2 linked regions of the Notamacropus eugenii genome follow. The protein of the gene in region 1 interacts with the protein of each later gene in a pairwise test. Links are inferred from orthologs where the notes say so. Each region holds a gene or a part of one and is shown on either strand. Other genes may lie near its edges.

The links.
Region 2: the proteins of GIT1 (region 1) and PPFIA4 interact in a two-hybrid assay, tested with the Homo sapiens proteins (2 studies listed by BioGRID). The link is inferred for Notamacropus eugenii from reciprocal best matches to the Homo sapiens genes GIT1 and PPFIA4.

Annotation. Positions count from the first base shown.
Region 1 is NC_092873.1:37,130,858-37,138,190, reverse strand, and holds the start of GIT1 (ARF GTPase-activating protein GIT1), read left to right. Parts: upstream 1-4,272; 5' UTR 4,273-4,348; coding exon 4,349-4,400; intron 4,401-7,333. Other genes in the region: uncharacterized protein, read right to left, coding at 2,679-2,724, 3,711-4,267. UniProt on the Homo sapiens protein: GTPase-activating protein for ADP ribosylation factor family members, including ARF1.
Region 2 is NC_092873.1:437,155,876-437,163,492, reverse strand, and holds the start of PPFIA4 (liprin-alpha-4), read left to right. Parts: upstream 1-4,535; 5' UTR 4,536-6,543; intron 6,544-7,617. Other genes in the region: TMEM183A (transmembrane protein 183A), read left to right, coding at 2,315-2,470, 3,333-3,518. UniProt on the Homo sapiens protein: May regulate the disassembly of focal adhesions. May localize receptor-like tyrosine phosphatases type 2A at specific sites on the plasma membrane, possibly regulating their interaction with the extracellular environment and their association with substrates.

The DNA of each region.
Region 1 (7,333 bases):
GACTGTGTTTAAAGGGCTAATAGAGATGGGTGGTTGGAGATCCACCTCTCTGAGGTGTCTTAATCAGTTAATCAGCAAGCAATTATTAAATGCCCACTGTGTACTAAGCACTGTGCTAAATGAACTTTAGCTAGCCTTCTCTCCTTTCAGACGGGAAACTCCTTGAGAGCAGGGACTTTGCCGATTTCTGTTCTATGTCTTCCTCTGGTTCCTGAAGCCAGGCTTTTCACATAACAAGCAATTACATTTTGCCAAATTGAATTGGTTGGGACGAACAAATCAGTTCCCATTTCCAGCTTCTCATTCAGAGCAATAATGGTTTGAGACTTGCTAGAAAATGATATTCTCATCCTCCTTTCCATCATCTCTTCCTTGTATTCCATACCCCGCCTCCATGGCAAACCATGCACATCCCAGGATGCCACACCGCCAGGGGGAGAGAGGGAGCAGTCAGCGTCACCATCCCCATTCCCCTGCGGAAGAGTCTGCGGGCCTCCTTTGGTGCCTAGGCATGCTGCTCCCTACCTCCACCACAAGGAGTCAGCAGAGGGTTGTACCTGGACCGGGAGCCTAAGCAGTGGGATTGGAGAGGCAAGAGAGGAAAAGGAGAGGGTGCCCCTGTACAGCGGATACTCCTGGGAATGAAGGTGTGGCTGAGCACTTCCTATGGCCGAGACACAGACGGACTGCAGCCTCCTTCAAGTCCACCGCTAAAGAGGTGTGGGGATTTGCAGATGTCATCTGCTCCTCCATGCCTTCTAAAGTCCCTCTCTCCTCAAATTACTTTGTATTTACTCTGTATATTTTGTATCAGTGTACACACTATTTCCTTCCTGGTAGAATGGTAAGTTAAGGACAGGGACCACTTTTGTCTTTATAAGATCACCGGGCACAAAGCTGAGAAACAGTAGGTGCTTAGTAAGTGAAGGTAGTCTATGTGTTTTCCCTCAAGAGATTGTAATCCCCTGAGGGCAGGACTAGTTTTTGTCTTCGACTAGTAGACATTCAATAAATGGTTATTGAATTACATGAGCCCTCTTCCCCAAGTATCAGGACAAGGTACAGTTTGGGGGAGGGACTGGTAGTAGGGCTGGGGGGGTTGGGTAGTGTTGGACTTGGAGTCAGGAAGACCTGGGTTCAAATCCTGCTTCTGACACTGTGTAAGTACGGAGGAAGTCACTCTCCCCAGGCCAGTTTCCTCATCTCTAAAATGGAGTTGGACTAAATGGTATCTGAGATGCCTTCAGTTCTAGATCTATGATTCTGTGATTCTGCGCGGCCGCCCCCCCCCCCCCCCATCATCCCAGTTTGCTTAGGTGCTCTAAGGAGTCAATTCATCTTGGTTCCTGGGATGTCCCTCCCATCCCTCCCCAGGAGACACAGTCCAACTGAGAGACTTAGATTGAGTAGGGGGAGGCATGCCAGGCACCTGTTTGTTCTCCTTCATGCCTGCCAGTCCCAGGCTGCCACGTGCTCTCAAACTCACCCACACACAGCCCAAGAAACAAAGACAAACAGACCGTGCAGCTGAGAGCCGAGTAGACATTTAATAAATGAAATTCCATAGCTGAGAGAAGAGCTGAATCTTCAGCTCCAGTTCCCACCCCCAGCCTTCATTCCACATGCATTCACTCACCACGAGGCTGGAAGGGGGTGGGGTAGGGAGAGAGAGCCTGTCTCAGCATCCTCAGCCTTGAATGCCAGGGTGAAGAGAAGGCCCATCCTGGGGGAAAAGGGGGGAGTAGCACCTCCCATGCAGCCGTTGGCAGGTGGGGCTCTCCAGGAGCCGAGGGAGCCAGCCAGGCACAGGCTAACTCAGGTGATAAACTGCCTGGCTCTCTCCTAACAACTCAGGGACTGCATTGGGGGAGGCGGCAAGGCAGACAGGCAATGCTACAAGCTGGCAGTCTCCTTTTTTTTTTAAAGTGTGATTATAAATATAGCCAGTGGACACACACACTTTCAAACAAACTTGTCAATCCGGGTAGAAATGAGAAGTCGAAAGAGGCAGGTCTCGCTGTATTTGGGGCGCCATGACTCATGGGCGGCTGCTGTCTCAGGGAGGGAGCTAGTCTGCCCACCCACGAGCCCCTGCCACAGATAGGCTGAACATCTCTGGCACCTCTCCCCACGTGAGTGAATCTCCTGTTGCCAAGTAGAATCCCCTCTTTGTCTAGACTCTAGACGTTACACCTGCAACCTTTTCACCACTGGAACGGCTTCTAACACCTTCCCCTCCCAACAGCTTTCCCGAGTCATGCCCACCTCCCCAGAGACAGAGTCAAAAGCAGAAGGGGGGAAGGGCAGCAGCAGAGGGCAGGGCATTTTATGCAAACTGGCAAGCACAAGGGAATGCACACGAGCAGGCTGGGGCCACAGGTTCGCAGTTTCTCAAGGCTTCTTCCTTCATGTAAAATTTCATAACCTGCGAAGAAAAACCACTCCAAGGAAATATTCTGGGTGTATATATACATTTACACAGCCTGGACATGAACACGTGGCCTTGAAATGAAACAGGCCAGGACTTCATGTACATTCTGTTCCTCCCCTCCAGGAATGGACATATATGAGTACATGACAAAATACAGGAAAGTCCCCACATGAGAAGGCAGCTGTCTGTCTCTTCCTCCAGACATCTTTAGAAGTGGGCTTGATTCTTAGCCACGGGGAGCTGTAGTCTAGGTGTGGTCTTGCCTGGAGGCAGTGAGTGACCTCTCTGGCACCCTAGAAGTTAACAGTTTAATTCAGTTCAATGCCAACATAAGCTGGGAGGGACCTTAGAGGTCATGGAGTCTAACCCCCTTTATTTGACCGATGGGGAAACTGACCAGGGATTTGCTCAAGGTCAATTAGCTAAAGTACATAACAATAAGGCACAATACGGATAAAAATGACTTACTCTTCCCCCCGCCACCCATTGAGTGCCTCTTGGGTGCCAGCTGGGTGGACTGGGGATACAAAGCTGGGCAAGTGAATTTCTTTCTTCCAGAAACTTGGTCTATATTCCTCACGCGGGTGGCTACCTGCTCTCCCCCCATTCCCAGGGAAATCTGGGGATCTAGACTTCCTGCAGCAAGCTAAGACAAATAGACCTATGGAATTCCAAGGAACCCGGAAGAAAAAGAAGCCCAATTTGTAGCCTTAGGGCGTTGTCAGGGGCTGGGGTCACACAGGTGACAGAAGGGCAGCTTGAGCCCATGGATGCCAGCTCTCTATCCATCAAGATGGTATCGTTAGAACGCCCCCCCCCTTTCACACAAGTGTGGGTGCTCTCTGCAGAATCGTGTGCCCCTACCCATACATACATAGAACGTTTTCCCCAACTCAGACACCAGAGTGTGGACACTAATCGATGCGTTCCGCACCCAGACAGCTCTTAGGAACCCAGACTGTACAAAAGCTGGCCCATCCCTCCTTCCCCAAACACCCACAGCCTTGTCACCCCCACACAGAGGATGGCGACCTTTCCCCAACATTCTTTGTCCGCCTCTCCTTGGTATGGGGCGGCTTGCTAGGTCACCCCTAAACTGGCCTATTTACACGCACACACACACACACACAATAAACCTCAGCGAGGCAGTTCAGCCTTAATCCCCCACCTCCCGTTTTTGCCCCATTTTCACCACCTGCCCTCAATGCTCCCCCTCTCCTTCCTCCTCCCGCTGCTAGGATAGGGGAAGGCAGGAAGAGGAACTGTAGGGGTGACTCACCACCAGCTCCGCCCTGTTCTCGCTTTGGGGGCAGGTAGGGGAAACTGAGGCAAGGGGCCAGGATGCGGGGCAAGCTGGCGGCCAGTCACCCAGGCCAAGTCCTCCCCGACTCGGTTCAGGATGGGGAGAGGCTGGGGAGGGGGCGGTCTCCGGGGCTGGGATTGGGGGGGGCGGGAAGAGCCCGGCCCTCCTGGCCCTTTAAAGCCCCCCCACTCCCTAGCACCTCGAGCCTCTTCCTGTGTTCCTTGCCATTTCCTTTCTCCAGCTGGGAGCGGGGCGGGTCCGGGCCCGGGCTGGGGGTCGGGAGGCGCGCGGGCCCCTCCCCCGGTGGGCCGGGCCTGCGTCGCTTCCTGCGGGAGCAGCTGAGCGCGAGCTGGGCAGCCTGCGGAGAGCCGGAGAGCCAGGGGCCGGGCCGGGCCGAGCCGGGCGGGCCGAGCCGGAGCCGGGGAGGACGCGCCGGGGGCCGATCTGAGCGCCGACGGCCGGGGCCCCGAGGGGGCGGACGCGCGGCGGGGAGCGGCCTCCGCAGCAGCCGTGGCCGTGGCCGCGGGCGCCATCGGGGACCCCCTGCCTGCGGCCGACGCCCCCGCGCGCCCCCCACGCTGGCCCAGAGGGCTGCGGCCGCCTCGCCGCTGAGGATGTCCCGGAAGGGGCCGCGGGCCGAGGTGTGTGCGGACTGCAGCGCCCCGGGTAAGGCCCGGGCCGGGGGCGGGCACGGGGGCCCCGGGGTGGGGGGGAAGGAGGTCGAGACGCCAGCGCCCCGAGGCCGGGGGCGGGATGCTGCGGGAGGGTGAGCGGAGGCTGGGGGCTGCGGCCTCGGCAGCCACTGCAGAGCCAGGTGTCCTTGGGAGGGGCACCGGGGTGCCCGGGGGCCCGAGCTGGGAGGGGAGGGGCGCAGCGCGCTGCTCCTGGGCTGCTGCTGGTGCCCACGTCAGTGCTGGTCATCCTGCCCCCTCAGCACCCCCAGCCCAGGGGCCAGCGGGGTCCGTGCTTCAGGAAGGACGTGTCCGGTGCCTTCTCCTCCTTGGGCAGTCTGGCCTCCCCCCCAACGGCATCCACCCCCCCTCCCCGGCTCCTAGGCGGCAGAAGGACTGTGGGGGAAGCGAGAAGGATTTTTCCTTAGGGGGTGGAAGTGTGTGTTCTTAGTTTGTGTCATGGAGTCTCGGCTGCCTCCTTCTGTCTTACACCTGCTGCTCACACGTTGCGATTGCTGTGTAGCTGCAGAGGACATCTGTGGGGAAAGGGGGTGAGCAGGTATCTCCTGCCCTCACCTTGCCCAGCTCCCGGTCCACCGGCCACAGGTCTTCTCACAAAGGTACTCGGAAGGCAAGGGTTACCCAGGGATGCTTGTCTTTAGGCATCCTGGCCTGCCCAGGGCCTGGTAGGGCTGTTCTTCCTGGAGTTAGAGGGGCCAGGGTCAGGCCCTAGGTCCCATTTAATTCTTCAGAAGGTGGTGACTGATTCCTAGGCCTCTGAAGGTGCTAGGGGCTCTCACACCTACTCTGTCAGGCCAAATGGAATCCTGAGACACCATTCCTCAACCCCATAAACAAAGCCTGCTGGGTGGGGGAGGATGAGCAGGCCTGGGTCTTGAGATAGTTTTCCTTCTCCTCAGCCACTACTTGACAGGGAAGTGGGAAATCCCAGCACCATTGGTACCAGGCAGGGAGCACAGGACAGACCCTAGACCTGGGTGCCTAGGGTCTGTGGATAAATCCAGGGCAAGCCAGTAAAGGACACTGGACTCAAATCCTACCTCAGCCACTTATTCTGTGGGTCTACTAGTCCTGTACTTTCCCTGGAACTCGGTTTCCTTCTCTGTAAAAAGAAGGGATTGGTCTTTGATGGCTTCTAAGTTCCCTTCCAGCTTTGCTCTATGCCAGGGAGACCTAGCCTAGGGTCTGAGAGTCAGCTGCCTCCACCCCCTGCCTCTGATTCCATGTTGACTGGCATTTCCCCTTCTCCCCAGAAGAGTGGAGTTCTTTTCCATGTGGGAGTTGCACATCTCTACCTACTTTGGCCCCAGGGAGGAAATGAGGGGACAGACCAGAGGAGCAGTTTCCTTCTGGTGGAAGGGGTGGACTCCGGAGGCAGAAGGGGCTCTTCAGATCTGAGCAGCCTGTTGGGGCAAGGGGTAGTGGAGTCCTAATGGTCATAGGTAACCTTTCTGGGCCTCAGTTCCTTCATCTGTAAAATGAAGAAAATTGGATGACTACAGAGTCACTGTGATTCCTCCACCTTAACTCTGGCTTCATTCATTTGGGAGGGAGATAGGTTTGTACTGCCCACCTCCCCAAATTCCCACTTAGGTTCTGGGTTACAGATCAATTTGCAGAGTTTCCAGAGAACCCCAGAAGGCATGTGGGCAGCTGGTGCCCCAGTGTGCCCTCTCTAGGCTGGCAGAAAGGATCTGGGGAGGCTTATCTGGGGGCTTACTCCCCCTTCACAGGGAGTCTCCAGTGTTAGTGTCAGCTCCAATGATCATTTTGAGATAGGGATGAGGGACATCAGAACAAGCTTTCTAGTGCCCTGTGAGTACCCAGTGAGGGGATAGAGGAAGTTGGTGGTGGTATCTCTGTGGATGCCCAGTTTTGTGACCCTCAGTTGACCCCATTAGTGTCAGAAGGTTAGCCTCTTTGTTGGATGAGATATCCCCAGGTTGGCATAGGACTATGCCCTCAGGGCCCCTCCTCTACCTTGCTCATCTGGCATAGTTAATAGAAGCCTAGGTTTAGAGTCTGAAAAACACTTTAAGTTCTGTTGTAGGCACTAATTCTAACCTTAGTCGTGTCGGTCTCTCAGAACCTCAATTTCCTTCTCTATTAAGATGTGCTGTTAATGCTTGGTAGTCCCCACCTTGCTGAGCTGTTAGACTCAAGTGAGATAATTACCAAGCATTAATTAATCACCTACTGTGTGATCCAGGTGCTAGAAACATAAAGACAAAAACCCAAAAACCCAAGTCCTGAAACAGGCCCTGCCTTCAAGGATCCTATGTTCTATAAGGAAATCATATAAATATTTACAAAGTGACTTCAGAAAGGACATTAGCAACTGAAGGGATTTCCTTTTCTCCATAGGAAGGACTCCTGTGGAGAAAGTAGCATGACATTTTAGCAGATCTTTGAAGGAAGTTAAGGAAATTAAAGATGCTTAAAGGTGAGGAGAGAGTGCATTTCAGGCATGGGGGACATCTGTACAAAGACTTGGAAACTGGCATTGGTATGGAATGATGCCTGGAAAGAGCTTTGTAAACTCTCGAGCTCTCATCAGTAGTGATTAGCATCCTACTCTGAGTGGAAGAAAGGTGACCAAGACTGGTAGAACGTGCGAGGGCTCCTCATCAGTGGCTGTAGCAGACCCCTGAGGAAGACAAACTTCCTGAGTTGTTCAGGCAGAGTTAAAGTCTAGTTGGAATCCTGGCCTGGGTCCTATCCATCCCCTTCACAGATGCACCACATGGCTGCCCTCAAAGAAGACTCCTCTAGGATGTTGGATTAGGGGATTTGGAGTCCAAATGCATTCCAGCCCTGCTAAGTGCCCTGTTTGGGCCCTTGGGCTAGGCAGTCACTTACAGAAGGAAGGGTTGGATGTGAGAACTTTCAGTCCTCTGATCTTAGTGC
Region 2 (7,617 bases), about 400 Mb from region 1:
TGAACTTTAAACTTAAACCATTACTTTCAGGTACCTCTGCTTCCATTTTGTGCTATGGGTACAGAGCATAGAAAGACTGCCTAACTGAAATTATATTTATAATGTGCTGATGTTTATATAGCACTTAAGGTTTACAAAAATTTTGCTTTACAGATAATTTCATTTTAGTCTCACAAGAATGCTGGGTGGTAGGTGCTATTGTTACCCCCATTGTACAGAGAAACAAACTGAGGCAGACAGATTAGTAACTTGCCCAGAATCACATAGCTTGCAGATGTCACAGGTTGATTTTGAACCTCCAGTCTTTCTGACTCCAGACACAGCTCTCTATTCACAGTGCTACCTAGCTGCTCTATAATATAAAAAGGAACTGATTACATTTTTTTTTTTTTGTTATTCAAATAAAGCAAATGCTTTGGTGCTCATTTGTTAGGTAATCACAGTATGTAGGGGCTTTTATGCATATGTTTTGTAGGTTCTTTGGAATTTAGAATGCTGGATAGCTGATACATTTAATTTTTGTTTCCCCACTTATCTCCTAGATTCTACTGAGTTGCTTTACAAATAAGGTTTTACCCCATTTAATATAAGACATTCTGGGGAAAAGTACTTTTGTAAAGTGAGTCACTTTTTAATTGACTTTTATATAATTTCTGGGAAAGGAGTATGTGTTTGTGTAAGTATATTTGGTTTCATTTTATTTTATTTTATTTCTAGGCCGGAATTTTGGTCTTGATTGTATAGCTGCTAAGAAATTCTTAGTCCCCTAACATCTTGTCACATGTCAGACATTGGGGAAACATGTTTGGCAAAATCATGCTAAGATGGGATATTGGGTCAGGATGGGCATCACAAATTCTTAACAAATAAGGGACAGGAGCTTAATGACTATGACAAGGCAATTTTGAGAATCTTCTACTCAAAAAAATTGTAATTTCTCCAAGGAATAGTGACCAGAGTTTGAGTATCCTCTGCTCTTCCTCTTTGTATGAAGCAGATCTCTGCATTGATAGTTGACAGAGCAGGAAGCATACACTTGTCATACATTGGTTGACCTTACTAGAGGTTCCAAGTTTACTGAATGGAAGTACAAACCCCTACCAAAGATTTGTGAGTTCTATTATTATTGCAAGTGCTAATAATCCTTTTCCTTTTAATAATTCAGAGTTTTCAAAGCCCTGTTATATTTATAGGATTGTAGATTTAAGAGAATGTAGAGGCCTGCTAGTCCAGCCTCCTCATTTTACAGATAAGGAAATGGGAGTTCAGAAATGTCAAATGGATTGCCCAAAGTCACAGAGGCAAGATATCTCAGTGAAGTTCATATTAATCTGCTTCTCATAATGGCTTTGTAAATTAAAGCTAGATATTAATCTTTCTTTTAGAGATGAATAAATTTAGGGTTAGAGAAATTATTTCCTCTTGTCCATAAGAATAGTTAATACCTGACTGGAATTGGAACTTGGATTGGTATCCTTGAACTTTTTTTAAATTGGTAATTGCATTTTATAATGTAATTGTTTTCCTTTAGATTTTATTTTATGCATTTAAAAACATGCTGAGGTTTTTTATAGGTTTCATCAGAATGCCAAAGGAGTTCATGAGATTAAAAAAAGATTTAGAATTCCTGGGCTAGAACCGGAGGTCTTTATCATCTACTATTCCATACTGATTCTTTTGTCTTGGTAGGTGGACAAATTTTGTCATAAGATGAATTAATTTAAATAAAATCTACCCTTTAAAAAAATAATTGATTTCAGATTTTAATAAATCATTTCATTATTATTGGTCATTTGCCAGAACATAGAAATAATTTGCATCATTAATAAAACTTTACACTTAAAATATTCATTACGGCAGGATTTTTCCTTTATCAGCTCTGGTTAGCAGTTTGTTGAGATATGAGTTTATTCAACTAAAATAAGGCTTTGGTAGTGTGTGTGTGTGTGTGTGTGTGTGTGTTACAGACACATACACATGGGTGTCTTCCTTCCTTCCTTCTTTCTTTCCTTCTTTCCCTCCTTCCCCTACCACCTCTAACACTGAATCTAACTTATGAATGTAACTTTACTTTTTATAAGATTCATTGCTGTCTTTGAAGTGTTTGGTAAATTATAAAGTGCTTTGTGAACATAAGCTGCTGTTCTTGTCTTTGCTTACCTTGCAATTCTAGTCCTCTGCCACATAGAGTAAGTAACCTGGTAAAACAAAAGACAATAGGTGTCATTAGGTTAGGCATAGGTTTGTCACTGGTCGTATCCTAGAATCATTTATATTTTTCTAATCCACTGAGTTCATTTTCAGTTCTGTTTAGTCCCCCAGGTTAAAGAGTAAGTGTGTGGGAGGGCTACAGCCTCCTGTTCAGTATGAAGATGTTCACACCAACCCAGATCAGGACTGCTGCCTCCTACAAGTCACCACTCTCAATTTCATCTTTATCCCCATTGTCATGGGCATGATTTTTACCCTGGTAAGTGGATACAGGATGAGAATAATCCTGTTAACTGAATAACCCTATGTGCAGCAGGATAAGAAAGAAGGCCTGACAATGATGTGGTCTTTGGCTAAGCTTGTAGATGAGGACTCTGGAGTTCTCTTCTCATATCTCTGAGGGATTGACTGTGGCTAGGATCTGAGAAAAGAAAAAGTAATGAGAACATAAAGAGAGAAGAGACCATCCTAAGTGGTCTGGTGGTTCACTAGTTCCAAAATCAGCTACCCCTGGCTTGTGGGCAGATGGACTTTTGGATGGGGTAATAAGTTGAAATCCCACTCTCCTGTCTGAATGTTGAGTCTTCAATGATCCATGAACATTGAAGGCGGCCCTATTTGTTTGAGAAATAATAAAGTCTTAGACATAAGACAGACCTCGGGGCATATGGAAGACATCTCTAACCTAGGATGCAAGTTGACACCCCTTGTGCAAAGTTTAGACTGTTTTGAGTCAGTTTACCACGAAGTACTCCTATTTCTATACCTCTGGCACATTGGTCCCATTTCTTATAATATGTTTGGCAGCTAGAGAAGGAAAAATTATGACATTTAGTCTTTTGTGCCTTTTAGGTTTATATTCAGGGATCATTGTCTTTATTTTTAGCTTAAAGAGCTTAAACTGGGATGAGTTTATAAAATTAACCTTAAATGATTTTTCTTTATAAGACAGTTTTAGTAATTTAATTTTATAGAGCAATTGTGGTGCTTTTTTGGAGTTGAGCAGTCTCTGAATTCTCTTTAGACTATACTTTTTTGTAGAGTATAATCTGTAGCAAATCTAGCTTGCTTCATTTGAAGGATTGCTTCATGGGGCTACTCATTTTGCCTTTTCCTTTCAGTTTACCATCAACGTGAGTACTGACATGAGACACCATCGGGTGAGGCTGGTGTTCCAGGATACTCCTGTTCAAAATGGTCGGAAACTACGAAGTGAACAGGGTGTACAAGTCATTTTGGACCCCGTGCACAGTGTTCGTCTCTTTGACTGGTGGCATCCTCAGTATCCCTTTTCTTTGAGAGCTTAGTTACTGCCTCCTGTCTTTGGGGGCAGCCCTGAGCCAGTTGGATAATCCGTTAGTCATCAGAATACAACTAGGAAGGGGGCAGCTGGATTGCCTTTCCTGTTAGTAACTCACATGCTGCTCAATTTCTGGGGGCTCTTACATGGGGCTACTGAAGAATCAAGGGAGGGAAACAATGATTTGTAAACCTATTTTAATGTAAATTCTGCATTTGAAAGGAGAAACTTGGCCCTGTTCCTTGCTTTTAAAAGCCCTTTTTGGTGCTATTGAGTTTGGTGTCTTTTATTTTATTAACCCCACTGAACACAGAAAATGGATGATCTTGATTTGAGAAGAGCTCAGCTTTTTTGAATCCCCAAAACTGGAAAGCTTCTGCATTTCTTTGTGGATTTGAGTCCCATGTTGGCCCATCTGCATATAAGTGAATTTTCTTTCCTCCAGGAAATAAAACAGGTAGTAGGGTTCACAGAAATCTACTCATAATGATTTTTTGTTTTTTTTTTAATGGAGATATTTGTTATTTTAAATTTCTTCTGGCCATTTAAAAATCTCAGATGCTTCTGTACAAAGCTGGAACTTGAGATTTCCTGGGATATGTTAAAAGGTAGCAAGTTATATATATAAGATGAAAAGTAAGAATTTGAAATTTGTCTTTTGTTAGATTGTAGTGAAGTTTTAAAATGAAAAACAGGAAAGTTACTGCAGGGAAGACACTGTTACTCTTCTAGAAATAAGCAGGAGGCATTTATATCATTAAAAGAATAAAAATGATTCATCAATTCTTTGTAAAATTGGCTTCCTGGGCTAATAAATAGGAGGTCCTGATTGACTTTACCTTTACCTTTCACTCAGTGGCCTTGACAGCAGCCTGGGTGCCTCCTGAAGCCTGATCTGCTGCACCTTTGCAGATTTTTGTTTATTCCCTATAGTAGACAGGGGTGGAGTGTTTCTATAGGTGGTGATCTGAGAAAAGAGAACAACTTTTATGTGAAGCTACTATGTTGCTTTTTGATGATCTTAAGATCTCAGTGGATGTGGTGATTGCTGCATCTCATCTAGAGTCTGGCAACAAAGTAGAACCTTCTATTGGAAACCATGTGTCCCAGGTAGCTGATAACATAGGTCAAGCCTCTAAAAATGAATACTGCTTTTTCTACTGCATGGGTTCTGGAAAATTCTGAAAAATCTGCCTGATAATGCAGGTTTGTCTGTCATTAGACCTGTCTGGCCTCATTCCATACCATATGTGTCCTGAGTTGTTAATGGGATGGGTACCTGGGATGGCAACAGCAACATTTTGGGGTTGTCATCAAGAAAAGGGGAGGTTGCTTATAAACTTCCCTATTTTAAAACTTTTTTTTTTTTTTGCATTGGAAGACTAATAGTCTCCCTGAAATGAAACTACTGGAAATAGGATGATTTTGAAAGAAAATGGAAATGAAATTATTTGTCCTGTAGGTGTTTTAATTTGACTTCTGCCGTGTTCACCTTTCTCTTTGCAGAGCCAAACTAGAAGCTTACTGTACAAAAACAGTGCCAGCAGTGGGTATGGGCTCACTTGTCCAGTTGGCATAAGATCGCTTACCTCTTGAATTCAGTGATGATTAATCAGAACATCTTGGTTGAATGCTAACTTTGCTATTTAGTAGCCAGGTGATGTTGAACAAGTCACTCCTAACTTTGTTTCCTCATCTTGTAAAAATGGGGACAATAATACCTACCTCACTTGGTGAGGTAAGTGCTTTCCAAACCTTTAAAGCACTGCGTGTGGGCTGTCGTTGACTCCTGTGGCTTTAGATGTGCAATTTGCCCAGCTACTATTTCTAGAATCTCAGTGAAAGGATTTGCTTGTCTCAAAGCCTTTACTTTGAAGAAGCTTCTGCCTTCTTCCCCACACCCAAGTGCTTGTGGTGGTTATAGGTAATGGAATGTTTTGGCCTGCAGGTTGAACACTTGTCCTTTTCAGTTTTTTCTATGAATTGTCCTCCAGGAGAGCCAGTCTGGGTAAAAGGGCCTATGATTTTCCCCCGAGAGATGGGCATGTCTTCTGACTCATTGGGTTTTGAATCACATTCAACTCCTCCCCACTTCCTTCCTAAAACAGGAAAATGAAATGACATAGGAAATATTTTTGGAGAAGGGAAAAAGGAGAGCAAGGCTCTATGTGCCAAACTTCTGCTGCATAAACTAGTATTTGCTACTGAAATAGAACATGTTATGTATATATTTATAAATACATATGTACACAGTGCTGCACGTATATAAAAAATCTTCACACTGAGAGCAGTGCTCACTGGGTATTCTTAATGGGTTCTGTAGGCACCCACAACTCAGATGAGTGGGGAAGAGTGGTGGCACCAGAAAGGGGGAACCCGCGTGATGGCAGGGAACCTAGGGATCCCCAGGGTTCAGGAAGGGGAGCAGCGATTCCAGCGGGGGGACCCCCACCCGTGCCCCGGGGAGTATGGTCAGTGCATCAACAAGGGGTGGATGGGCACAGCAGGCCTCCCGGAAGAGCTGGGGCAGTGCCCTGTTCACTCCCCCTTCCATCCTGGCACCGCCGACTGGCACTTGAAAATCAAGTTTTCTCACCTGATCTATGGGTCTAATCCCCCGCCCCAAGCTGGGGCAAGTGCTGGACCAGGGAGCAAGCCTGAAATGCCAAGACAGCAAACCCTAGGGTTTAGCTGCCACGTTGGGGTGGGGGCTGGGAGGGGCGAGGTTGGGAACCGCACCCCCAGCACTTGGCCCCCAAACACCCAAATTGATCCCTACCTGGCCAGGGGGCCGCCAAGATGGCGCCAGAAGCTCCACGACTCTCGTCACGTGCCCGGGGCGGGGTCTAGGGCAGCTCCGCCTCCCGAGGCGTGGACATGCTAATATACGTGGCTGGGGGCGGGGCCTCGGGCCGGGCACCGGCTGAGGCTGCAGCCAATTCGGCTCGGGCTCGGCTCCCTCGGACGTGCCGGGCTCCCGCGGCCGGGGGCGGCTCCCTGTTGCCTGTGAGCGGCGCTGGCGGCGGCTGCAGGTGAGGGCCGGGCCGGCAGCGGCGGGGCAGGGTTCTTCGTTTCCCTTCCTCCCCCCCACACCCTCCTACCCCTCCAGGCCTAATAACCCCTGCGGGCTCTGGCCTGGTCTGGTGGCGCGGGTGCCCGCCGCATCCTAGGACCCTGGCCGCCAGGTGCTGACTCGGCCCCTCCTGCCGCCCCTCCGGCTCCTTGCCCTTGAGGAGTGGGGGTAGGGTGGTAGGTGGGGAGGGGGATGATACAGGGAGAGCTGGGTCGTCGATTCCTCCCTACCCTACCCCAGTGACCCCCGCCTCCAGCCCTACCAGTCCGGGGGTGGGAAGGGGAGATGTGGGGGTCGTAGTGGACAGCGCCACCCTTGCAGGAAGCTCAACCTGGCATCAGCTCAGCTCTCCAGGCAGGCCAGGCCCTGGGGAGTGTGGGGGGTGTGGGGCGGGTCTCGGCCAGGAGCTCGTTCCCGCACACTGCCTGCCCGCATTTGTCTAGCCTGTGCTTTTTCTGGGTAGCAATGCCCTCCCTCTCTGCAGTGCTGACGATGGGAAGGGGGGTCCTGCTGGCCAGCACTAAACGGGGGTCTTGGGGGTCCTTGAACATGTGGGGAAAGTGAGAATCAGCTGCGATTCGGGTGTATGTATGTGTTTCGTGGAGGGTTCCTGTGCCAGATGGGGGAGGGGGAGAAAAAGAAGACGGGGTGAAAAGACCGTAAATGTGATTTATGGTTTTTTCGGTGGTGGGGGTAGGAGAAAATCGGGGATCATGGGAGAGGAGAGAAGGAAGTGCCACTAGAAGGTGATGTCACTCTCCTGGGAAAGACTTGTGGTGGACCCCACTCCCAGCTTCCCTTCCCGATGTCTACCGTTTAATGGTGTGGAGGAAAGAGGGGTGATGAGAGAAGTATTGCTCAGGTTTTATATCCCTTCCACTTAGGAAGATTAAAGGACTTGGGCTTGAAAGTGGTCCCTTGGGGCTGCCTTGAAGTCACCTCCGAGGACACCTGGTCTAGAACCTCAAGCGCCCCATTATGTGTATGTGTATGAGTGTGTGTTTAAAGAGCAAAATGTACTTTCATCCAGTCT